Arabidopsis thaliana: one gene and its partners. The protein of the gene in region 1 interacts with the protein of each later gene in a biochemical or structural test. Each region holds a gene or a part of one and is shown in the gene's direction. Other genes may lie near its edges.

Region 1 (4,406 bases):
CCGCCAATTTCTGCCCTTGCCAATCCATATCTGAAGAAGAAAAAAAAACACAAAATTACGATTTAGATCCGATATAACAAAATTTGAATCGCACAGATCGATCTCTTTGGAGATTCTATACCTAGAAAATGGAGACGATTTTCAAATCTCTGTAAAAATTCTGGTTTCTTCTTGACGGAAGAAGACGACGACTCCAATATTTCGGTTAGTACTGAACCGGAAAGTTTGACTGGTGCAACCAATTTAATGTACCGTACGTAACGCACCAATCGGATTTTGTATTCAATGGGCCTTATCTGTGAGCCCATTAATTGATGTGACGGCCTAAACTAAATCCGAACGGTTTATTTCAGCGATCCGCGACGGTTTGTATTCAGCCAATAGCAATCAATTATGTAGCAGTGGTGATCCTCGTCAAACCAGTAAAGCTAGATCTGGACCGTTGAATTGGTGCAAGAAAGCACATGTTGTGATATTTTTACCCGTACGATTAGAAAACTTGAGAAACACATTGATAATCGATAAAAACCGTCCGATCATATAAATCCGCTTTACCATCGTTGCCTATAAATTAATATCAATAGCCGTACACGCGTGAAGACTGACAATATTATCTTTTTCGAATTCGGAGCTCAAGTTTGAAATTCGGAGAAGCTAGAGAGTTTTCTGAGGTACGATTCTTCGATCCTCTTTGATTTTCCTGGAAATATTTTTTCGGTGATCGTGAAACTACTGGAATCGCTCGATAGGTGGTACGAAATTAGGCGAGATTAGTTTCTATTCTTGGCCATTATCTTGTTTCTTCGCCGAATGATCTTCCGGATAAAGATTTTAGGTTAGAGATGAATCGTATAGCTAGATTTCATCACCAGATAGTTTCTTTGTCTAGAATCTCTGAAATTCTCGATAGTTTTCACATGTGTAAATAGATTGTTCTTATTCGGCGATTGTTGATTAGGGTTTTGATTTTCTTGATTATGCGATTGCAATTAGGGATTTTCTTTGGTTTTGTGTTGATCTTACGATACATTCCGGCAATTGAATACGTATGGATCTAAATCTTGTTAATTTGTTGAACAGATGGCTCGTACTAAGCAAACAGCTCGTAAGTCTACTGGAGGAAAGGCTCCTAGGAAGCAGCTTGCTACAAAGGTAAGACTCGGGCTCTCACATGTGATCTGAGTAGCTTGATAAACACATTTCTAGATTTGTTCTAATTGGTGGATGTTTTAATTTAAGGCTGCACGTAAGTCTGCACCAACCACTGGAGGAGTCAAGAAGCCCCATCGTTACCGTCCAGGAACTGTTGCACTACGGTATGCAATCTGTTTCTTCCCCAAATTCAATTGTGTTTTTACTTTATTGATATCGTCATTGATTAAACTCTGTTTCTCTGTTTTATTGATCTTGATTGACAGTGAAATTCGTAAGTACCAGAAGAGTACCGAGTTGCTGATCAGGAAGCTCCCTTTCCAGAGGCTAGTTCGTGAGATTGCCCAGGATTTCAAGGTAATGTGTCTGTTCGTCTGATTCAGTCTACAAATGGATTTAACTTTTTACTTGTTTTGTCATAACCTTGTGTTCTTATCTTGTCTCTTTGATTGCAGACTGACTTGCGTTTCCAGAGCCATGCTGTGCTTGCACTCCAGGAGGCTGCTGAAGCATACCTTGTGGGTCTCTTTGAGGACACTAACCTCTGCGCCATCCATGCCAAGCGTGTGACCATAATGCCCAAAGACATTCAGCTCGCTCGCAGGATCAGAGGAGAACGTGCTTAATTGTGATTGGGAAGTAGTTGGATTATGTGAATGTGGGTGGTTTTCTAAATAGATAGTTGGAATTAGATAATGGCTTAAAAAGCTTTTGGGTGTAGGAGACTTGGAAACAATGGTGTTTTTTTTTTCTTTTCTTTCTGTTTCTTGTCTAGTCGGTTTATGATTTGCTTGTGTTCTTCTTAGCTACGTTTTGTGGTGTGTATTGCTTTCTTCTTTGGCAATGTTGAACACCTTTTGTTGTTGAATTCATCTCTGAAACATATGAATATGTTAAAGTTTCTGACTCTTGTTTCATCTGTATCTGTTCGATATTGTATGATTGAGTTTTATTGTTTATCAATAAGCTTTCTGTTTCAAAGTTCTTTTCAATATCAACAACTTTTACGTTCACGAAATTGGTAATCCGTGTGACACTTAAAATCTCTAATCGTGGCCGTTGGGCTGTGTTGAGAAAACACAATGTACAATAGTTTGAACCGTAGGATAAAGAATGTGAGAAAGCACAAAGGAGCGTATCGTGATAACCCTTTCGTGAGTATTATAAATAATAATTCAACTACATTGCGGCCACAACCACTACTTCAATCATCCCCTATTACTGCTTTTGTTACGAAAGACAAAAAAACAAAACAAAACAAAAGTCAGCTCAGGCGAAGAACAGGTATGATTTGTTTGTAATTAGATCAGGGGTTTAGGTCTTTCCATTACTTTTTAATGTTTTTTCTGTTACTGTCTCCGCGATCTGATTTTACGACAATAGAGTTTCGGGTTTTGTCCCATTCCAGTTTGAAAATAAAGGTCCGTCTTTTAAGTTTGCTGGATCGATAAACCTGTGAAGATTGAGTCTAGTCGATTTATTGGATGATCCATTCTTCATCGTTTTTTTCTTGCTTCGAAGTTCTGTATAACCAGATTTGTCTGTGTGCGATTGTCATTACCTAGCCGTGTATCGAGAACTAGGGTTTTCGAGTCAATTTTGCCCCTTTTGGTTATATCTGGTTCGATAACGATTCATCTGGATTAGGGTTTTAAGTGGTGACGTTTAGTATTCCAATTTCTTCAAAATTTAGTTATGGATAATGAAAATCCCCAATTGACTGTTCAATTTCTTGTTAAATGCGCAGATGGCTCGTACCAAGCAAACCGCTCGTAAGTCCACCGGAGGTAAAGCTCCAAGGAAGCAACTTGCTACTAAGGTTTTGTTCCTTCTTGTCTCTTTTTTCAAATAATACTTGTGTTGTGAAGTTGAATGTTAATCTCCTTCTTTATTAACCTCAGGCTGCTCGTAAATCTGCACCAACTACTGGTGGAGTCAAGAAACCACATCGTTACCGTCCTGGAACTGTTGCTCTCCGGTTTGTCCCTTCTTCGATTTGTATGTGATTCTTTGAGATTATGTAACATTGTGTGTTAACATTCCTCTTATCTTTTGGTGTTCAGTGAAATCCGTAAGTACCAGAAGAGTACTGAGTTGCTTATCAGGAAACTGCCATTTCAGAGGCTAGTCCGTGAGATTGCTCAAGATTTCAAGACTGATTTGCGTTTCCAGAGCCATGCTGTCTTAGCTCTCCAGGAAGCTGCAGAAGCATATCTTGTTGGTCTCTTTGAAGACACTAACCTTTGTGCCATTCATGCCAAGCGTGTGACCATAATGCCCAAAGACATTCAGCTCGCTCGTCGTATCAGAGGTGAACGCGCTTAAGCCAACCAAGAATCCGAGATTTGGTTCAAGTAGTTTTTGTTTTTTATGAAAGCAAGATCTTAATTGCTGTGTTTTTTAAATCTCTGGGTATGTAGTAGTAAGAGTAGTAAGAAGTCTGCAATCTAAGAATGTTGTGTTCTTTAAGCTTATTATTATGTGTGTTGCGAACTCTTTTTAACTCTTTTGTTAAATTCTTATGTTTTCTTAACTCGTTTGTTCGTCACCATTGCTTTCTCTTCAAATAATGGCTGATTTTTTTCTATAATTTTGGATTTGTTGAATGCTTTCTTTTAAAAGAATCAGATTTTGGACTTTTGACCAAAGAAAATAATAATATCAGACGATAAAATAGACGGCTCTCGATAAAACTAACCCTAAAAATAAGGAAATAAGTTCCTCTTTGAACCAAATTTTCTTTCTTTGACCAATAGATCTTTTTGTCAACCTCTTAAATATATTCTTAGTCAATCTTCTAATAAACCCATTGGCCATTACCAAAAATTCCTCGGAAACGCTGAATAAAAAACATTCTATCATCTATGGGAGAAGTCGATGAGAAACCGTCCATTGATGTAGCTTCTCCAAGGTATTCATCGAACAAAGTTGCGGATATTGGTACAGAGCTTTACAAAATGAAAGCTTCCCTTGAGAACAGAGAAAACGAAGTCGTTTCTTTAAAACAAGAGTTATTGAAGAAAGACATCTTCATCAAGAATCTTGAAGCTGCAGAGAAGAAACTGCTTGATTCGTTTAAAGATCAATCGAGAGAGTTAGAGGAAACCAAAGCTTTGGTAGAAGAGTCAAAGGTAGAGATTGCTTCATTAAAAGAGAAGATAGATACATCTTACAATAGCCAAGATTCCAGCGAGGAAGACGAAGACGATAGTTCTGTTCAGGATTTTGATATTGAGTCTTTGAAGACTGAGATG
Region 2 (5,230 bases), on another chromosome or scaffold:
ATCTGGACATCAGCTGATTTCCGCTGATCTTTAGCTGGAAAGTCTCTATCACCTGCGAAGCTTATTTGTTTCAGTAATTCACAAAAAATCCGTAATCATTCTACTGAATGTAAGAAAAGTGGTTGCACAGTGAGTGGACGAGGTTATTTTGGCTCGGTGAATCCAAGCATGCCATAATTACAGGTAGTGTAGAAAATGTTCCACCCAGAAAGTAAGGTTAAAAATAAATTTGTTAACTAGTGTCTTGAGAGATCCTATTCTTTAAAGCAAAATTTCCAGGGTATGTGTCCTTTTTGATTAATAAATCTAGTAAACCAAATCATGCCACATCACAGATCTTGCATAACAGCTTATACGTTGAAAATTAACTTTGTTTGTACCTCAAGTAGCTGCTCATTTTTAAGAAGACTCTTTACTCGATATATTTGATGCTTTGCCAAATCCTGGTGTCTCAACAATTTTGTATCTCTTGTTAATAGAACTCTGTTCTCTTTGAATGCTTGATCAAGCAACTCCCTGGCATTTGTGTCAACATCACAATTAGAAAATCAATCCTATACAGATATTGTGATCAAAACCCCATGTCACAGAAAAACTTTAATAGCAGCTTTAGGATAAAGTACCTTGAATCCGGCTTCTTTGAGTGTGGGATTGCAGCATCAATCCCCACACAACGTAGATGTTTCGCCAAACCTTCAACCTATAAAGTAGTTTTACAAGAAACTGATTATGATACCACATGGATTCTACTGAAAATGGTTAGATTCAAAAACAAAGATACTAAATAGGTGAAATCAAATTCTTGTCCTCTAATTAAATAAAACCAAGAAACAAAAGAGCAACAGAAAACAGAAATTGATTCAAATACCATCACATCCAATAGAAATTTAGGGCAGCCATCACCGCCTAAAGATGAGTCCCATGGCGGTGGACCTTGCCAGTCCGCAGAACAGACCAACTGCTTATTTGTGTTCATAGTGCTTGAGGCGACACGTCTTCTTGTTTTCTTCTTAAGTTTCTTTGGTAGAAGATCAGACTCCTTCAACAGGATCCGTTCTCCAAACTTCCTGACAATCTTCAACAAATTCTCATCCATTGGCATCGTGTTTAGTGTCGTTTTTCTTGGAACCACTCCATTGGCTATGTTTTGACCATTTTCCGACATTGATCTGATTACATCTGTAGCCTTGCAAAGTTTGACTGTGACAATCTTACTGCTATAGTCCGATTCAGTCAGAATTTCTTGTAAGCCAACATTTATCACTCTAAGATCTTGCACTGTGATTCCTTCAACAAGATGCGCCTCAAATACATCGAATATCTGGAGCAGGCAGTGAGCATCTGTGGCAGCGTATAGTTTCTGTTCTTCTGTAAGAGGACGATATGACCAATCACTACATTGAAGTTCCTAAAGAATAAAAACCTGTTAAGAAAAGCCTTATTAACAGTACGTTTCACGAAAAGTCAAATTCTTGCAGGAATCATTGACAAACCTTTGAGAGAGAGATGTCCAGCATTTCCTTACATATAGCAGCCAAGCTCTTGATATCCTTTGGCGCCTTTCTCCCAAACCGCTTATGTTGCAGATAATTGTATATGCTTGTAATATCCAAGTATTGTTTCACCTATTCACATCAACAATCACAAACATAGAGTTTTAAAGCAACATAACCTAAAAAGGCAAATAAAAGAAAAACACAATTCAACAATCTACTTTCAACAGAAGTCAATAAACACACAAATCAATACTTACCTATCTATAAACACCACACGTGATCCAAACACAAGAACTTTAAGTACAAGAGAATATAACAGAGCTAAAGGTTAAAACTTTGATAAGAATTCGACTACAATTAGCTTAAACTAACACTACGAAGCAAAGTTCAAGACTTTCAAAAGCAAATCACCTCTTGGAATCCACCTTCACATCCATGTTGAGTAAATGTCGAAGACAAGTAAACCAAATCCTGTTTAAACCGAAACCCTAGTTTCAGAACATCCGGCGACACGAACATATCATTCAACAGCTCCCAAACCGATGGAAGATGAATCGAACTCAAATCAATGAGGAAGACATCGGAGACATCCGTGGCGTGACTGAGTCGGCATGCGACTTGGAGGAGAGTGACGGTCGGAAACGACGACGTATTGGAGTGTTGTGGCTTCCATTCGGCGTCTAAGGCGATGATCGTAGAACGAGTGAAAGACCATTTCAGGTGAGTGAACTCGGACGAGTCGGTGGATGAAACTAGATAGATCTTTAGATTGGTCTCCATCGTTCAAAGAGCAAAATCAATTTAGTTGAAAGTTACATTGAAGGAGAGTCTTATGTCGGTTTTGGTTTGTCCGGTGGGATAATCAAATTGAACCGAACCGAACAACCAAAATATATGAACCGATCTAATCCTAATTTCTCAAAATCGGTTAGATAAAACCAAAATAAACCAGTCTGCAAATCGGGAAACCGTAACAGTGGCGCCAAATTAAAATTCCCCGGGAAAATCCGGTGAATCCAGAGCGCGAACTCTTCTACTCAACCTCGGCTAGATCTCACATTTATAATCTCTCACTCTCTCTCTTTCTCTGGTAAATCAATAAGTGTAAGAATGGTGGCTGTGAGGCGAAGGAGAACACAAGCGTCAAACCCTAGATCCGAACCACCGCAACACATGTCGGATCATGATTCCGATTCCGATTGGGATACAGTCTGCGAAGAATGCAGTTCCGGTAAACAACCAGCAAAGCTGCTTCTTTGCGACAAATGCGATAAAGGGTTTCATCTTTTCTGTCTCAGACCGATCCTCGTTTCAGTTCCCAAAGGCTCTTGGTTCTGCCCTTCTTGTTCCAAACATCAGATCCCTAAATGTAAGCTTTTTCACTATACCCACATGACTCTAATTTCAAAGCTTCCTTCTTTTGATTAGGATATGTTTATTGTTGAGCTTTAGATTTTAGGATTCTTCTGGGTTTCTTGATCTCTGTCTTTGATTTGATTTTGCGAATTTGATTCAGATTTAACACTACTAGATCAGGTTTTGGATTACACTGTTGCTGAATTACTAATGAAAAGTTTTGTAAATCTGCAGCTTTCCCTCTTATTCAGACTAAAATTATAGATTTCTTCCGGATTAAGCGGTCTCCAGATTCATCTCAAATCTCAAGTTCTTCAGGTATGTAATTTTGCAGATTAGAAATCTAAATCCCTAGAAATATTAATCTGAATAGTGAAATGTTTGCAGATAGTATTGGGAAGAAACGGAAAAAGACTAGCTTGGTGATGTCAAAGAAGAAGAGAAGGCTTCTTCCATACAATCCTAGCAATGATCCTCAAAGGAGGCTAGAGCAAATGGCGTCTCTGGCCACTGCGTTGAGAGCTTCCAACACCAAGTTCAGCAATGAGCTTACTTATGTATCTGGAAAGGCTCCAAGATCTGCAAACCAAGCTGCTTTTGAGAAAGGAGGCATGCAGGTATCTATCTTAAGTTGATATGTATTGCTCTTGTTCTTCAGTCACATCTATATGATTGGTTTGGTGATTCTTAGGTTTCTTGAAAGCATTCATTGTTGGGTTAAGTATCAACAGAAAAGTTGATTTTGTATTTAATTTCATACAGGTTCTATCTAAAGAAGGCGTAGAGACCTTAGCCTTGTGCAAGAAAATGATGGACCTCGGTGAATGCCCGCCACTTATGGTCGTCTTCGATCCTTATGAAGGGTACTTAACATTCTTATTAGCTTCTCTTTTGACCTTTATAACCAAGAAGAGAGTAGGAAAATGCATTTATCAATGTATAATTATATTGAAGTCTAATTTTTTCTATCTGAACAGGTTCACAGTAGAGGCGGACAGGTTTATAAAAGACTGGACAATTATCACAGAGTATGTTGGAGATGTTGATTATCTGAGCAATAGAGAAGATGACTATGATGGAGACAGTATGATGACTCTACTTCATGCCTCTGATCCTTCGCAATGTCTCGTAATTTGCCCTGACAGACGCAGTAACATCGCCCGGTTCATCAGTGGCATCAACAATCACTCACCGTGAGTTTCTCTTCTCTTCTATTTGGTTCCTTAAAGTCGACTCTCTGGTCACAACACCTGAGCTCCATGTTTTGGTCCTGCTTCTGAATTAGTTGGAACCATTCTAGTATTGCTTGTCCTCATTGTGTATTTGTTGACATTTTGTGAATTGCAGAGAAGGGAGGAAGAAGCAGAACCTGAAGTGTGTGAGGTTCAACATCAACGGAGAAGCTAGGGTTCTTCTCGTAGCTAATAGAGACATATCGAAAGGGGAAAGATTGTATTATGATTACAACGGATATGAACATGAGTATCCAACTGAACATTTTGTATAACCCTGTGAATTTCGTAAGAAAGGTCAACCTATTAAAAAGGTTGCTTGTTCATCAAGAAACAACCTAAAAGTGTTTTTTGTCCTTCCTAATGCTTTAACTGGGCTTTTAGACCATGAACCAAAGCCTTACTTCAAGTTGGATCAAAATGTGAAGCCTTGTCGGAATAATTGATGTTCTATTTGTAAAAAATACACTAGAAATGGGAATTGAATTGAAGAAAATAAAGATTGTTGGTAAGGAAAAGAGAGAGTAGGAATAATGAATGAAATAGAATGGTCCAAAGAGCCTAAAGACTAAAGGAGTCTGACAGTACCTTCAAGCGACTATGAGAGTTTGCATCAAAAAAACCATTCCTTTGTGATTCCTTCAGATCACTGTGGGACATAAACTTCCTTTTGGATCCCACACTTACCATTTTTCATCTTTTTTTGCATTCTCCAACAAATTTATTCAATTTTAATGCATCGTACATACCTAAGAGACAATTTGATAAATATCTCGACATTGATTTATTGAACATTTTATCTTTCATCTTTTAGCTCTCCATCAGGATATTATAAATTTGGCTACGGGAGCGGACATATCATATTAAAATTGATTACTAAGTATCAATTTGACGTAGGAAGCATAGATAAACCTTGGATCTCTTAACATACGCCTCAAAACAAGTTAATATAGGACCAAACTTTGGTCAGTAGCATTATGATCTTAAACTGTCAGGATGGACCTTAGATACTATAGAATCTCAATAAAATTATTTCAAAAATGACTTTCTTATTTAGTTCATTTAGTGATTAAATATATAGATGGATTCGGGTAATCTCACGGGTTTTAAACTCATTTTAACATATATAAACATAGTACTAGCCCC
Region 3 (5,104 bases), on another chromosome or scaffold:
AGGAAAGAGATTTTTTGGAAGGTGAATGGAATTGTTATCACGGCCAATGCCATTAGAACTTTGAGAATAAATTGCAATGTTCTTTAGTACTAGTATCATTGCAATGTTGATACTCTAAACCAGAATTTTATGTTTGGACTTGGCAAAATCGTATTAAAAGTAAAGCTATCAATATGCTCTATCAAGGGAGATGTTGTCTTTGTATCTAAAACAAACTGAATCTTGATTGATTGAGCAGTCAAAAACAAAATTGGATTTAAAAGATTACAAGAAGTGGATTTGGCATTTGGAGGAACGTTAGGATAAGGAAGGAGGTCTTTGGTGAGTTGCAATTTCTTGTCAACATCAACCTTAGTACCAATTTCCACTTTCATTACTTGAAGAAATTCACTTTCCGACAGAACAGCCTCACTTGTTCGACTTCTCTAAGATTCCCTCTACACCCGTATAACTCCAACACCTTCAACGTATTTCCATCAATGCTATACCCACAAGTACTTACACACTGAAAACCCTGAAACAACGGATAGAAAAGAAAAGAACACACAGTAAGTGAAACTCCGAGATTAAATTTATAATTGAGAAAGAGAAAAAGAGATCATATTATACATACAAACCTTGAGGATCAAAGTTTCTAGATTGGGAGAGCTTTTTATCAGAGTCCAAAGAACTTTCCAACCTTTTTTCGTCTTAGACTCAAACGATAGTTTAACAAGGTTTTTAAACAAGGGAAATTCATTACTACGCCAATAATCGAAGCAATGACGCATCATCTACAACACACAAGCAAACTGGTCATGAATGAAACACAAACAAATTGGTCAAGCATGAATGTAACAAGATACATGGAGAAGAGAGAGACATCATACTTTAACGGTAGTAGAAGCAAGGTCAAGAATGTTTTTCATATTCCTCATATTCATAGGGACAAAACTCATAAGGCATAGAAAGATCGATGCGGGCTTCTCGAAGGGAATCCATTGTGATGGACCAGTAATAGTCTTATTTCTTTGATTTTTTTGGAATACTATGACTTAAACAGTATTAGTATAAGCAAAACTTACATGGCGAGCATATATGAATATCTTGAAGCATCCACCGATGCAAGACTTAAGTTTTCATCCTTGTGAAGAAGTGCAACAACCTTAATAAAGGACTTAGCCACAAAATTACCTAGCATACACCCCGGTTCAGAAAATATGATAAGAAAGTTTTGCTCTCATCGTCAAGAATATATCAAACAACCATTTCACTTGTTCCAATTATGTATATTATTCTTTATAGTCTATACCATAACTATTTCATTAACGCTAACACCGCAATTTCTTATTAATTAAAAACCTTGAAAAAAATAGAGAAAACTATTCATATATAAAATTATAAGATAAAAATTTACAATTGAAAGATATTATATATGTATATAAAATTATGAAAATCAATATGGCGAAAAATTCTTAAATCGGAAACAGAAAATTATGTTAAACCATAAGACATAATTTATTAAATTTTGTATTTTATAGATTCAGATTTATGTAATATTACATTGTTGGTCAAACCAGAACACTTTGGTTTAGCTTGTCAAATAAAGAACTTGAGCCTCCAATGAGGCGGACCGACTGTTGGGCTTGGCGTTGGGGTGGCTCAGTTGACGAAATTGACGTTTACTGTGTTTGTATTGAGCCCACCAACATATATTTTTTTTCAATTGAAAGATATCTATTTTTGTAATTACGTTTGTATAGTATAGTTAATACTGTATTAATTTTTATATCAATCCCTAGTAAATTAAATAAGTAAAATTTAGTTAAGAAATTTAGTAACAATTAAAAGGCTTTAATGGTTGTAAATTTATTAGTATCACTTACAATGTTTAAACCTTTTAAGACATACCAGTAATTTTGAATTTGTCAAAGGTCAAAAAAACAAAAGAGCCGATAAAGAAGAGTCTCAAAGGAAGAATCCCAAATTACACTCCAGGTGATGCGCACATCAGTTTTCGTGCGCACACGCGGCGGTGCACATTAGCCCCAACCAATCAAAATCATATATCCCGTTCTCCGGCGACTCTTCGTCGTGAGCTTCCGTCATGGCCACATGGAACGCATCCTCCCCTGCGGCGTCTCCTTGCTCATCGAGGCGACGAACGAAAGCTCCAGCGAGACGCCCTTCCTCCGAATCTCCACCACCGAGGAAGATGAAATCAATGGCTGAGATAATGGCGAAATCTGTCCCTGTGGTTGAACAAGAAGAAGAAGAAGACGAAGACAGCTACAGTAACGTCACCTGCGAGAAATGTGGTTCTGGAGAAGGAGACGATGAGCTTCTTCTCTGTGACAAATGCGATAGAGGCTTTCACATGAAATGCCTTAGACCCATTGTTGTTCGTGTCCCCATTGGAACTTGGCTTTGTGTCGATTGTTCCGACCAACGACCTGTAAGAAGTATGGATTTTTTGTTTCTTCGCTTTTAAATTTCCTAATTTTCTTGTGTTCTTTGTTTAATAAAAAAATGGATTTTTCTCTTGTCCGGTGAAATGTTTAGGGTTATCTCAGAAGAAGATTTTACATTTCTTTCGGATTGAGAAGCATACTCATCAAACAGACAAATTGGAATTGAGTCAAGGTGCGATTTTTGTTTTTGGATTTCATGATATGATCATAAAGTTCTTGAGTTGATGAATCTGACGAGATGTTTCACTTGATTAAATAGTTAGATGAATATGAAATAGCTTAACTTTGGCCTATTATATGCTTGAAATTTTGTTGCACCTTATGTAGGGTTAATAAGCATTGATGAGAACTTATACATATCATATACATAGATCATAGATGCTTCAGGATTAAACTAATAACAAGTGTTTGAGATTGAGATTTCTTTGTTTTGAAGAAGAAACTAGAAAGCGGAGACGATCTTGCTCTTTGACAGTGAAGAAAAGAAGGAGAAAACTCTTACCTTTGGTTCCATCAGAAGATCCTGATCAGAGGCTTGCACAAATGGGAACACTTGCTTCTGCATTAACGGCATTGGGTATCAAATACAGCGATGGTTTAAATTATGTTCCCGGAATGGCTCCTCGGTCTGCAAATCAATCCAAGTTAGAGAAAGGTGGGATGCAGGTAATAAACAAAAACAATCTTTCAGCCATTTATCCATAACTCTCTTATTTTAAGTTACTTCCTTGATTGTTTATCTCGGTTTTTACTTTTCGCAGGTGCTATGCAAAGAAGATTTAGAGACATTGGAACAATGTCAATCTATGTATAGACGAGGAGAATGCCCTCCTCTCGTTGTGGTATTTGATCCGCTTGAAGGGTATCTCTCTCTATTCCTTCGATCAACCTTCCCATAATGACAAAGTGGAGTTGTAAACATGTTCTTTGGTTATTCCGTTTGTACAGTTACACAGTTGAAGCAGATGGTCCTATTAAGGACTTAACATTCATAGCTGAATATACAGGGGATGTTGATTACTTGAAAAACCGAGAAAAAGACGATTGTGACAGCATCATGACTCTCCTTTTATCAGAAGATCCTTCAAAGACTCTTGTTATCTGTCCAGACAAGTTTGGAAACATATCTCGCTTCATTAATGGCATTAACAATCACAATCCGTAAGCAACAAATTCAAAATTGTTTTCCCCCCACTAAACTGGTTTATAACATTGAATCATCACATCACACTGATTGTTGCAGGGTTGCTAAGAAGAAGCAGAACTGCAAATGCGTGAGGTATAGCATAAACGGCGAATGTCGAGTTCTTCTAGTGGCTACACGCGATATATCGAAAGGGGAAAGGCTCTATTATGACTACAATGGTTATGAACATGAGTATCCTACTCATCACTTCCTCTGATCTTTCAATTCTAACAGTTCTACAGAGTCTCTAGATCAGATGTTCTTTTTGTTGCCATATTACAGGTCAATTATAAATGTAGGGCTGCTGAATATATGGCCTTTAATTATGAAGTTAGCGGTAGAATAATTGGATTTGGAATGACATTACAGAGATTAAGATGTGGCAAATGTCAATTGCTGAACTTTTGTTTGATATCAAATGAAATCCTAACCTTTTTCTTATATGTTCTTGGAGACAACTTCACCACCTTAAGTGGTTGCCAAATAAGTTATAATTTCTTTTATACTCTTCTTCATAAATTTATCAAAATGAAGAACTAATCCAATACAGTCATTACCTAAACAGAAAAGTATAATTACAGTACTTGCCTAGTGTCGTACTTCTTATTTCCAGTCACCGAAATGTATTAACGCCAAAAGAGATTCATCTGTTATGCATAATAATCGCATGCTATGAATTAAATGAACACATCCAAAAAGGATGAAGTCACAATTGTACTACAGTTTCAGTATTGAGAGGAAAGCTTTTTTCACTTTGACCACTTTGATTGAATCATATCTTTGAAATTTTAAGTGGTGCTTTGCTACATATTCAACGGCTCAACAAGACAGAGAGAAAAATATTACGAGAGGAGATAGAGAGTGAGAGAGACGAGCAAGTTGAAGGAGCAAAACTTGTAGGTGAGAGCTTGAATCAGAACATTTCAAAGGAGAGAGATGGCAAGTAACCCTGATTTTCTTTGGTGCAAAGAAGAGAGGAAGCAGGAAAGCTTCTTCAAAGTTCTTAAGCGTTCCGACATGTCTTCAGAGGACACGGTAAACTATGTTCTAAACTCTTTATGTTGTTGAATTAGCTTAGTCTAGAAAGGTTAAACTTTCGGTTTCTTAAAGGTTTGAATCTTGTCGTTAACTGTCTTTATGGGTCTAGAAAAAGCTTTTGTTTTTCTTTTCTGAGGAACTTTTTTCATGGTTTTGTGCTTCTCTTAGTTCTCAGTTCTCTGTCTGAATGTGAAGATGTGTACTTTATTTCTTGTGGATGAGATCTGTTCTGTTCATTTTCACCGTCTTGTTGTGTTTGTCATTTGTGTGTTATAGCTCACTGATTTCATGGTTAGATTTGAAACTTTGTACTCAGATTCTTGATGGGATGTGTAAAAGCTCACTGATTTTTCACTGTTTTATATTAATATCAGACATGTATCTTACTTATATCTTTTCATCTTTCTTTTATATAACCACAGCGAGCGAT
Region 4 (7,402 bases), on another chromosome or scaffold:
GGTGGACTTTCCCCTTTATTATCTTTATCCAAAAAGTTTAGATAATTGGGTGGTCTCAACCCAAAATGCATGGGCCTACTCTTAACAGTAAAAAAGAAGAGTTTCAATTTGACTTTTACCTTTTTACAGATATACACCGAACTGGTGGTTGACCATCTAACACTAAACGCTAACTTCGATGGCGTCATCCCCGACCAATACGACGCCATCATCATTCCCGGTGGACGTTTCACGGAACTTTTGAGCGCCGACGAGAAATGCGTGAGTCTTGTTGCTAGATTCGCCGAACTCAAGAAGCTCATCTTCACGAGCTGCCACAGCCAGCTGTTTCTTGCGGCGGCAGGTCTGCTCACCGGTGGAATGAAGTGCACGGCGTTCGAAAGCATGAAACCGTTTATCGAGCTCTCCGGCGGCGCATGGTGGCAACAGCCTGGAGTCCAGACCCTTTTCGAAATCACTGATTGTGTCAAGGACGGCAGTTTCATGTCCACTATGGGGTGGCCAACGCTTGGCCATAGTCTCAAAGTTTTGTTAGAATCACTTGGCTCCAAGATTTCTAGCTCTAAAGAGAATCATCAGACTTCTTTGCTTTTCTTGATTGGGGTAAGTAGCTTATTTTCATAAGACTCTCTTTTAGACTTTATATATTGGAATTAAAAAAATGGTCTGACTAATACGTAATTTTGGTATATTTAGGATTGTGTTGAAGATTATAGTATCAACGTACCATTTAAAGCGTTTCAAGCTTTGGGATGTAAAGTGGATGCAGTGACGCCAACCAAGAAGAGAGGTGAGAAATGCGCTACAATCGTACACGACCTTGAAGACGGACGGCAACTTCCTACTGAGAAGTTTGGTCACAACTTCTATGTGACCGTTGCGTGGGATGATGTCTCTGTGGATGATTACGACTGCATTGTGGTTCCCGGAGGAAGATCTCCGGAGCTCTTGGTGATGAACCCCAAGGCCGTCGAATTGGTCAGAAAGTTTGTTGAGAAAGGCAAGTTTGTTGCTGCCATTGGAATGGGAAATTGGCTACTTGCCGCCACAGGCGCCCTTAAGGTAATATACACCGTTTTACAAAAATTCGTTTTACTATTCTAAAGACTTAAAAGTTAAAACTGAAGCCGAACCAAACCATATTTTAATTTAAACGAAACAAAAATGTCAAGATAAGTTGCTCTAAGCACATAGGAATCTCCTATGGTTATGGTTATGACTAATATTATTCCAGCATATTGTTGAAGGTTAGTAAGATATAATTCATCACATTTATGGCACCACTTCCTTAGCATAGATTATAATTTTTGCCAGCTTGTTATAACTCATCTAATTCCCATTGTGGCATGCTATATTATTACATTGCAGAAGAAGAGATGTGCAAGTAGTTATGGGACAAAGGTGGCTGTGAAGGTTGCTGGTGGTGAGATCGTGGAATCTGAACGGTGCGTGACCGACGACAAGCTGGTCACAGCCGCATCAACTTCCGATCTTCCTGCCTTTTTGTATGCATTGTCGACTGCACTTGGTCTCTCTGTTGTATTCTAATGTCAAGTGGTGCTTTAACGTCTAATGCCTAAAAAAATAAAAACATATCTTTGTATGTCGAAATATAAGGTCGTCCCTCTAATTATTTATGTACAAGCTTGGATTTGCATATATATATGGGAAGAAGAGTTGCCACACTTGCTTACACCTCTTCTAATTGTGTTTTTTTATAAGAAATTACCACTATCAAGTTGTCATTCTCCTCGTTTTACATTTGGTAAACAAGCTCTATTGACCATTTATGTTGTAACACTACTTCAAGACTAAAGTTGATTAGAGATAGCAAAATCTGTCACCAGCAAATTGTGTTTCCTTGTTAAATACTAGTAACAGATTCCAAACACATTAAATTTTGTGAAGTTAAATTTAACAACATACTATAAAATAAAACAACACATAAACGGATTAAAGACGTTAATGTTCATCCAAAAAGTATACTGAACTTTTAAATAATTTACCGACGAATTGTACTGTTTATATCCGACCAATATAGTTAATCACATTTTAATCACTGCATAAATTTACTCATAGGAATTACAATTACCGAATTAGTTTCGGTTTAAAATTTGTTGGATCAATAAAACAAAAAAAAAAAAACGATGCCAGAATATTCCGTTCGTCGGCGTAGTCTTTCCCGCCCCCAAATTATCTGAGCAAAAACCCTAGACTCTCGATTTCGTCACGATTTTCTCAATCACCTTCACTATACTGCTTCGATGGACTCTCACTCTTCCCACCTCAACGCCGCCAATCGTTCCCGCAGTTCTCAGACTCCTTCTCCTTCTCATTCCGCCTCCGCCTCCGTCACTTCTTCTCTCCACAAACGCAAACTCGCCGCCACCACGGCAGCGAATGCAGCCGCTTCTGAAGATCACGCCCCTCCTTCTTCCTCTTTCCCTCCTTCCTCCTTCTCTGCCGATACTCGCGACGGCGCTTTAACCTCCAACGATGAACTCGAGAGCATCTCCGCTCGCGGCGCCGATACAGATTCAGATCCTGATGAATCAGAGGATATAGTCGTGGATGATGACGAGGACGAATTTGCTCCTGAACAGGACCAGGACTCTTCTATCCGCACATTCACCGCCGCTCGACTCGATTCCAGCTCTGGAGTCAACGGTTCGAGTCGCAACACTAAACTTAAGACGGAAAGCTCCACGGTGAAGCTTGAGAGCTCTGATGGTGGAAAAGATGGTGGATCATCTGTGGTTGGGACTGGTGTGAGTGGCACTGTTGGAGGAAGCTCAATCTCAGGGCTCGTGCCAAAGGATGAGTCTGTTAAGGTATTGGCTGAGAATTTCCAGACTAGCGGAGCTTACATTGCCAGAGAAGAGGCTTTGAAAAGAGAGGTAGCTTATCACTGGATCTATGCTAATGAATTACTAGATGAGTTCAGAGAATCGCCATTGACAAATTTGGTGATATCTTTCATTTAGGAGCAAGCAGGACGACTCAAATTTGTTTGTTACTCAAATGATTCCATTGATGAGCATATGATGTGGTAATGCCTTCCATCATTTGTCTCCTGCCATTGAATTTAGCTTCTAATCAGCTATGCATTCTTCGTTCTAACCTCGTTTTTTATGAATAATTTGTTGAATGTATTCCAGCTTGATTGGGTTGAAGAACATTTTTGCAAGACAGTTACCTAATATGCCCAAGGAGTACATTGTTCGTCTTCTGATGGATAGGTAAACATGCTAAACTAAAGTGAAACATTGACAATTTTTGTAACAAACAATCGCAAATGGTAAGCATTCTAATATCTGTAACTTATGTTATTTGCCCAGGAAACATAAGTCTGTTATGGTACTAAGAGGGAATCTAGTTGTAGGTGGTATCACGTATCGTCCATATCACAGGTAAGGTTTTCGCATAACTCTTCCCATCTTTTGACCCAGTGATGATTTTCTCCACCATATGTATGTGAATACGCTTATACAGCTTTTTGCTGTTTAGAGAGTAGCATGTTGACTTGTTATCTTATATTATCATCAAACACAGCTTACTTTTCCTATAGAATATTTCTGAAACTGTCTGATGTCATAATGAGCATGAATACAGTCTTGACATGCTTATTAACTCCATTGTTTCCCTGGGATTCAGTCAGAAGTTTGGGGAAATAGCATTTTGTGCAATCACAGCAGATGAACAAGTAAAAGGTTACGGTACCAGATTGATGAACCACTTGAAACAACATGCACGTGATGTTGATGGATTGACGCATTTTCTTACTTATGCTGACAACAATGCTGTTGGTTACTTCGTCAAGCAGGTTGGTGTTTCGTATATTGTGCAATTTTTTGCTCTATTTTTAATCTCTCAACAAACTTCGACCAACTGTAGTACATTCCAGAAAAGTAGTTGAACTGTGTTTTGGATGTAATGTTTTCTATTGGTTAATAGGAGATACCTCAGAGTTTCACTTCTAAAAGTTCTGTTTCCACACTTAGCTATCAAGTCTACTTTCTGGATTCTAACTGTAATTTTTATATTCTTACAGTCGTCCACTAAGTTGATCTGTTACGTCTATTATCTTGTGCAGGGTTTTACTAAAGAGATTTACTTGGAGAAAGATGTATGGCATGGGTATGGAAACTATGTATCTCTTAAGTTCAAACTGCTCATTTACCATTCTTAACTTCTGTGCTTTATCTGTATGATGTCTAACTTAAATATTTGTTGGCCCAATTAAGCTCACAAACCTTAGAATACAAGCATTTTATTGCGTGGCTGATTATGCTACGAGAGAGCTATTTAAAACTTGTCTTTATCATTCTCTTCTTCATCTTGAAACTTACTTTTGCAAATAAAAACCTTTGAAATTTTCTTAGGTTCATTAAAGACTATGATGGTGGTCTCCTTATGGAATGCAAAATTGATCCAAAGCTGCCATATACGGATTTGTCAAGCATGATACGCCAGCAAAGAAAGGTAAGCCTTTGAAAATACCTTTTATGTGGTGAAAAAATATCTCGAGCCTTCAGGTTCATCTATACCCAAATAGTTCTTCAGGTTACGAAGCTATTTGTTTACTTTCTTTACTTTCACTATTTAACTCTAGCATTATGGCTGATTCTGAAAAAAATTAAAAACATAAGAAATACAAACTTGAGGATTCGATTATTGAAAGTTCCTCTCTTCTCTCTCTCGAGGAATTAATTAATGGAAATTCCTGTCTTCCCCTATGAGCCCAAAAATCAAGCTGCCCTCCCAAAAGCTATCTGCTTTCAAGAGAGCATAGCAACGTAACACTAAACGAGTAACCATTGTTACATTTCTGTCTAATTATACGTATCAGTTTCTGATCCGGTTGTACTTTTATAATATCAGGCAATTGATGAAAGGATAAGAGAGTTATCAAACTGTCAGAATGTGTATCCAAAAATTGAGTTTCTAAAGGTAAACATCAATGGTTTCATGTCTTGTGGCTATTATTGTATACAATGTTTCCAGTAGTAATAATAAATGAGATGATTTTTGCAGAATGAAGCTGGAATTCCTAGAAAGATTATCAAAGTTGAGGAAATACGTGGCTTAAGTAAGTTATGATTCTACTTGATGGTGTTATTGCAGTTTCTTACCCAAAATATAGACATATCTCCCTTTAAAATGTTCTAGTCATCTCAAAATTAAGATTGTGCTAGTCGCTCCATGAGATCAAGTTGATATGCATGTTTGAGATTCTCCTGCATTTGTTAGCTGTGGGCTAAGGGTTTATCTGTAATACATGAATTGGCTAATTCATGAATTATGGTATACTGTTGCAGGGGAAGCTGGTTGGACCCCAGATCAGTGGGGGCACACTCGTTTCAAATTATTCAATGGTTCTGCTGATATGGTGACAAATCAAAAACAGTTGAATGCACTCATGCGTGCGCTTTTAAAGGTTGTGATAAATCTTTTTTGTTTTGTTATTAATTATTATGTCCTCTTACATATTATGTTATTGCAATTACATGCCCTTTAATTTGACAAGCTGTAGTTAATTGCTACAGACAATGCAAGACCATGCTGATGCTTGGCCTTTCAAAGAACCAGTGGATTCTCGCGATGTCCCTGATTACTATGACATCATTAAGGATCCCATTGGTAAGAAGATATAGTTAAAATATCAATTTCGCTATTAATTATCCAGAATTTGTCCTCTTTTTAAGTAGAAGTGTTAAATCACTTTGGTAACCAAAAAATGGTTTGAACACAGATCTGAAGGTAATTGCAAAGAGGGTAGAGTCGGAACAGTATTACGTGACATTGGATATGTTTGTTGCGGATGCGAGACGGATGTTTAACAATTGTAGAACTTACAACTCCCCCGATACCATTTATTACAAATGTGCAACCAGGTAAGACGTTTTTTTCTTTCATTTCATTTCTTCTCTTCTTATTCAGTAATGAAATAGTGCATTTACTTTGTTTTTCTTTCTCTTAAAAGGTTGGAAACACACTTCCATAGCAAAGTACAAGCAGGTCTCCAATCTGGTGCTAAATCTCAATAGAAGAAGATGGTAGAGGTTATATTAATATCATTTTCTAGATCTTTCATTTTAAGATACTTTCATTGGAACTGGGAATACATGTATACTATTTTAGGCCCATGTATACTGGAGCTTAATTGTTTGTATGTTTTTTTTTCGGATAGGTAAATATTTGATTTAGTTAGATTCAGAATGTTTAAGTTTTTACTTTGTAGGTTAAATTTGTTCTATAAAGCTTATTTCCAACTGTAAAGACACATTTCATTTTACTAAATGTTTCTGATGAAAATCACATAACCAAATTTTGATATCGAACGGGATCACCAGTTTCGGTGGTTTTGATCGGATCAACAATGGTGAAGAGAATGAGCGTCATGGGTCATTTGTGTTTACACGCTTACACTCACGCTTACGCTGCACAGATTTCTTTAATCTGATGAATGTGAGTTGTTGTTGCTCAACATTTCGTTAAAACGGTTACGTTTGCCATAAGTAACTATTGATACATTTGTGTTTATACGCTTACGCTGCTGCACATGTTTACGTGATTACGTCTACGACCATTTCAACTTCGATTTGCCTTAGAAGCACGATAGCTTATACATTCTTCCATCATGTCCAATCATATATATAATATTAAGAGTTTACCGTCGCTGAGTCATACAGTAAATAAAAATACAGACAATAGTTACCTCAATCAAAATCACAAAACCAATGACTCTTTTTCTGGTTAATGCTTGTGATTCCAATGGGGTAGGGTTTCATACAGATTAGAATCAGGAGCAAATGGATTCTGCATGCCTTCACGGTTCACCTGTTCCGGCAAGAAATTTGCCGTCTCCACTCTCTGATTTTGTGCTAAACCAGCACTGGTGTTGGTACTTGAATTTGCTGGTTTCAAAATGTGGTTAGAGTTTGGCGGAATACTAGAGGAAGCACTCGGTGTGTTGCTGAATGGTATGCCCATGTTTGGTCTTGACCAATGCAAAGGGTTCACTCCTGTCACTCTTTTCACAGTTTCCTCTGCCATCTTAACCTGCACAGGTTTTTTATCAATGCAATTAACTTAGTTATTAAATCATAATCTTGGGTGTTTTAAATTCTTAACACTCGTGAGTCACAAGAGTACCTTTGTTCTCAAAGTTTCGATATCAGCTCTTAGAATTCTGTTGTCAACAGCAGCTGCATCATACTTATGATTCATGTCACTAAGACGATTAATTAAAGTTGAATGCTCGGCTCTTAATTGGCCTACCTACAATTGGTAAAAACTTTACCTATAAACCCCTGAAGACTGTTGAAAAGTAAGAAAGACTCGAGAAATGTATAAATGTATGAGCAACTAATAAAAGACCGAACCTGTGTATCAAATTCAT

What was found.
Region 2: of the proteins of AT4G40030 (region 1) and ATXR6, one has a biochemical effect on the other in vitro, tested with the Arabidopsis thaliana proteins (one study listed by BioGRID).
Region 3: of the proteins of AT4G40030 (region 1) and ATXR5, one has a biochemical effect on the other in vitro, tested with the Arabidopsis thaliana proteins (one study listed by BioGRID).
Region 4: of the proteins of AT4G40030 (region 1) and HAG1, one has a biochemical effect on the other in vitro, tested with the Arabidopsis thaliana proteins (one study listed by BioGRID).

The regions. Positions count from the first base shown.
Region 1 is NC_003075.7:18,554,911-18,559,316, reverse strand, and holds AT4G40030 (Histone superfamily protein), read left to right. Parts: upstream 1-2,412; 5' UTR 2,413-2,489; coding exon 2,490-2,573; exon of another isoform or gene 2,574-2,815; intron 2,816-2,899; coding exon 2,900-2,971; intron 2,972-3,053; coding exon 3,054-3,130; intron 3,131-3,215; coding exon 3,216-3,477; 3' UTR 3,478-3,699; downstream 3,700-4,406. Other genes in the region: AT4G40042 (Microsomal signal peptidase 12 kDa subunit (SPC12)), read right to left, coding at 1-28; AT4G40040 (Histone superfamily protein), read left to right, coding at 1,081-1,152, 1,240-1,316, 1,419-1,509, 1,608-1,778; AT4G40020 (Myosin heavy chain-related protein), read left to right, coding at 4,017-4,406. UniProt on the Arabidopsis thaliana protein: Variant histone H3 which replaces conventional H3 in a wide range of nucleosomes in active genes. Constitutes the predominant form of histone H3 in non-dividing cells and is incorporated into chromatin independently of DNA synthesis.
Region 2 is NC_003076.8:8,294,374-8,299,603, reverse strand, and holds ATXR6 (TRITHORAX-RELATED PROTEIN 6), read left to right. Parts: upstream 1-2,444; 5' UTR 2,445-2,606; coding exon 2,607-2,865; intron 2,866-3,086; coding exon 3,087-3,170; intron 3,171-3,239; coding exon 3,240-3,469; intron 3,470-3,614; coding exon 3,615-3,715; intron 3,716-3,829; coding exon 3,830-4,045; intron 4,046-4,199; coding exon 4,200-4,359; 3' UTR 4,360-4,494; downstream 4,495-5,230. Other genes in the region: AT5G24340 (3'-5' exonuclease domain-containing protein), read right to left, coding at 1-52, 381-516, 624-700, 869-1,408, 1,494-1,625, 1,908-2,276. UniProt on the Arabidopsis thaliana protein: Histone methyltransferase that specifically monomethylates 'Lys-27' of histone H3 (H3K27me1). Has higher activity on nucleosomes containing H3.1 than H3.3. Involved in the formation of constitutive heterochromatin and the silencing of heterochromatic elements.
Region 3 is NC_003076.8:3,037,953-3,043,056, reverse strand, and holds ATXR5 (TRITHORAX-RELATED PROTEIN 5), read left to right. Parts: upstream 1-1,895; 5' UTR 1,896-2,086; coding exon 2,087-2,441; intron 2,442-2,541; coding exon 2,542-2,622; intron 2,623-2,886; coding exon 2,887-3,116; intron 3,117-3,211; coding exon 3,212-3,312; intron 3,313-3,398; coding exon 3,399-3,611; intron 3,612-3,693; coding exon 3,694-3,853; 3' UTR 3,854-4,077; downstream 4,078-5,104. Other genes in the region: AT5G09780 (Transcriptional factor B3 family protein), read left to right, coding at 4,573-4,671, 5,097-5,104. UniProt on the Arabidopsis thaliana protein: Histone methyltransferase that specifically monomethylates 'Lys-27' of histone H3 (H3K27me1). Has much higher activity on nucleosomes containing H3.1 than H3.3.
Region 4 is NC_003074.8:20,211,329-20,218,730, forward strand, and holds HAG1 (histone acetyltransferase of the GNAT family 1), read left to right. Parts: upstream 1-2,077; 5' UTR 2,078-2,264; coding exon 2,265-2,897; intron 2,898-2,984; coding exon 2,985-3,049; intron 3,050-3,158; coding exon 3,159-3,239; intron 3,240-3,338; coding exon 3,339-3,410; intron 3,411-3,654; coding exon 3,655-3,823; intron 3,824-4,093; coding exon 4,094-4,137; intron 4,138-4,382; coding exon 4,383-4,482; intron 4,483-4,881; coding exon 4,882-4,950; intron 4,951-5,034; coding exon 5,035-5,089; intron 5,090-5,318; coding exon 5,319-5,437; intron 5,438-5,546; coding exon 5,547-5,640; intron 5,641-5,752; coding exon 5,753-5,894; intron 5,895-5,983; coding exon 5,984-6,047; 3' UTR 6,048-6,325; downstream 6,326-7,402. Other genes in the region: DJ1F (Class I glutamine amidotransferase-like superfamily protein), read left to right, coding at 130-603, 697-1,062, 1,369-1,548; BZIP25 (basic leucine zipper 25), read right to left, coding at 6,757-7,062, 7,156-7,281, 7,386-7,402.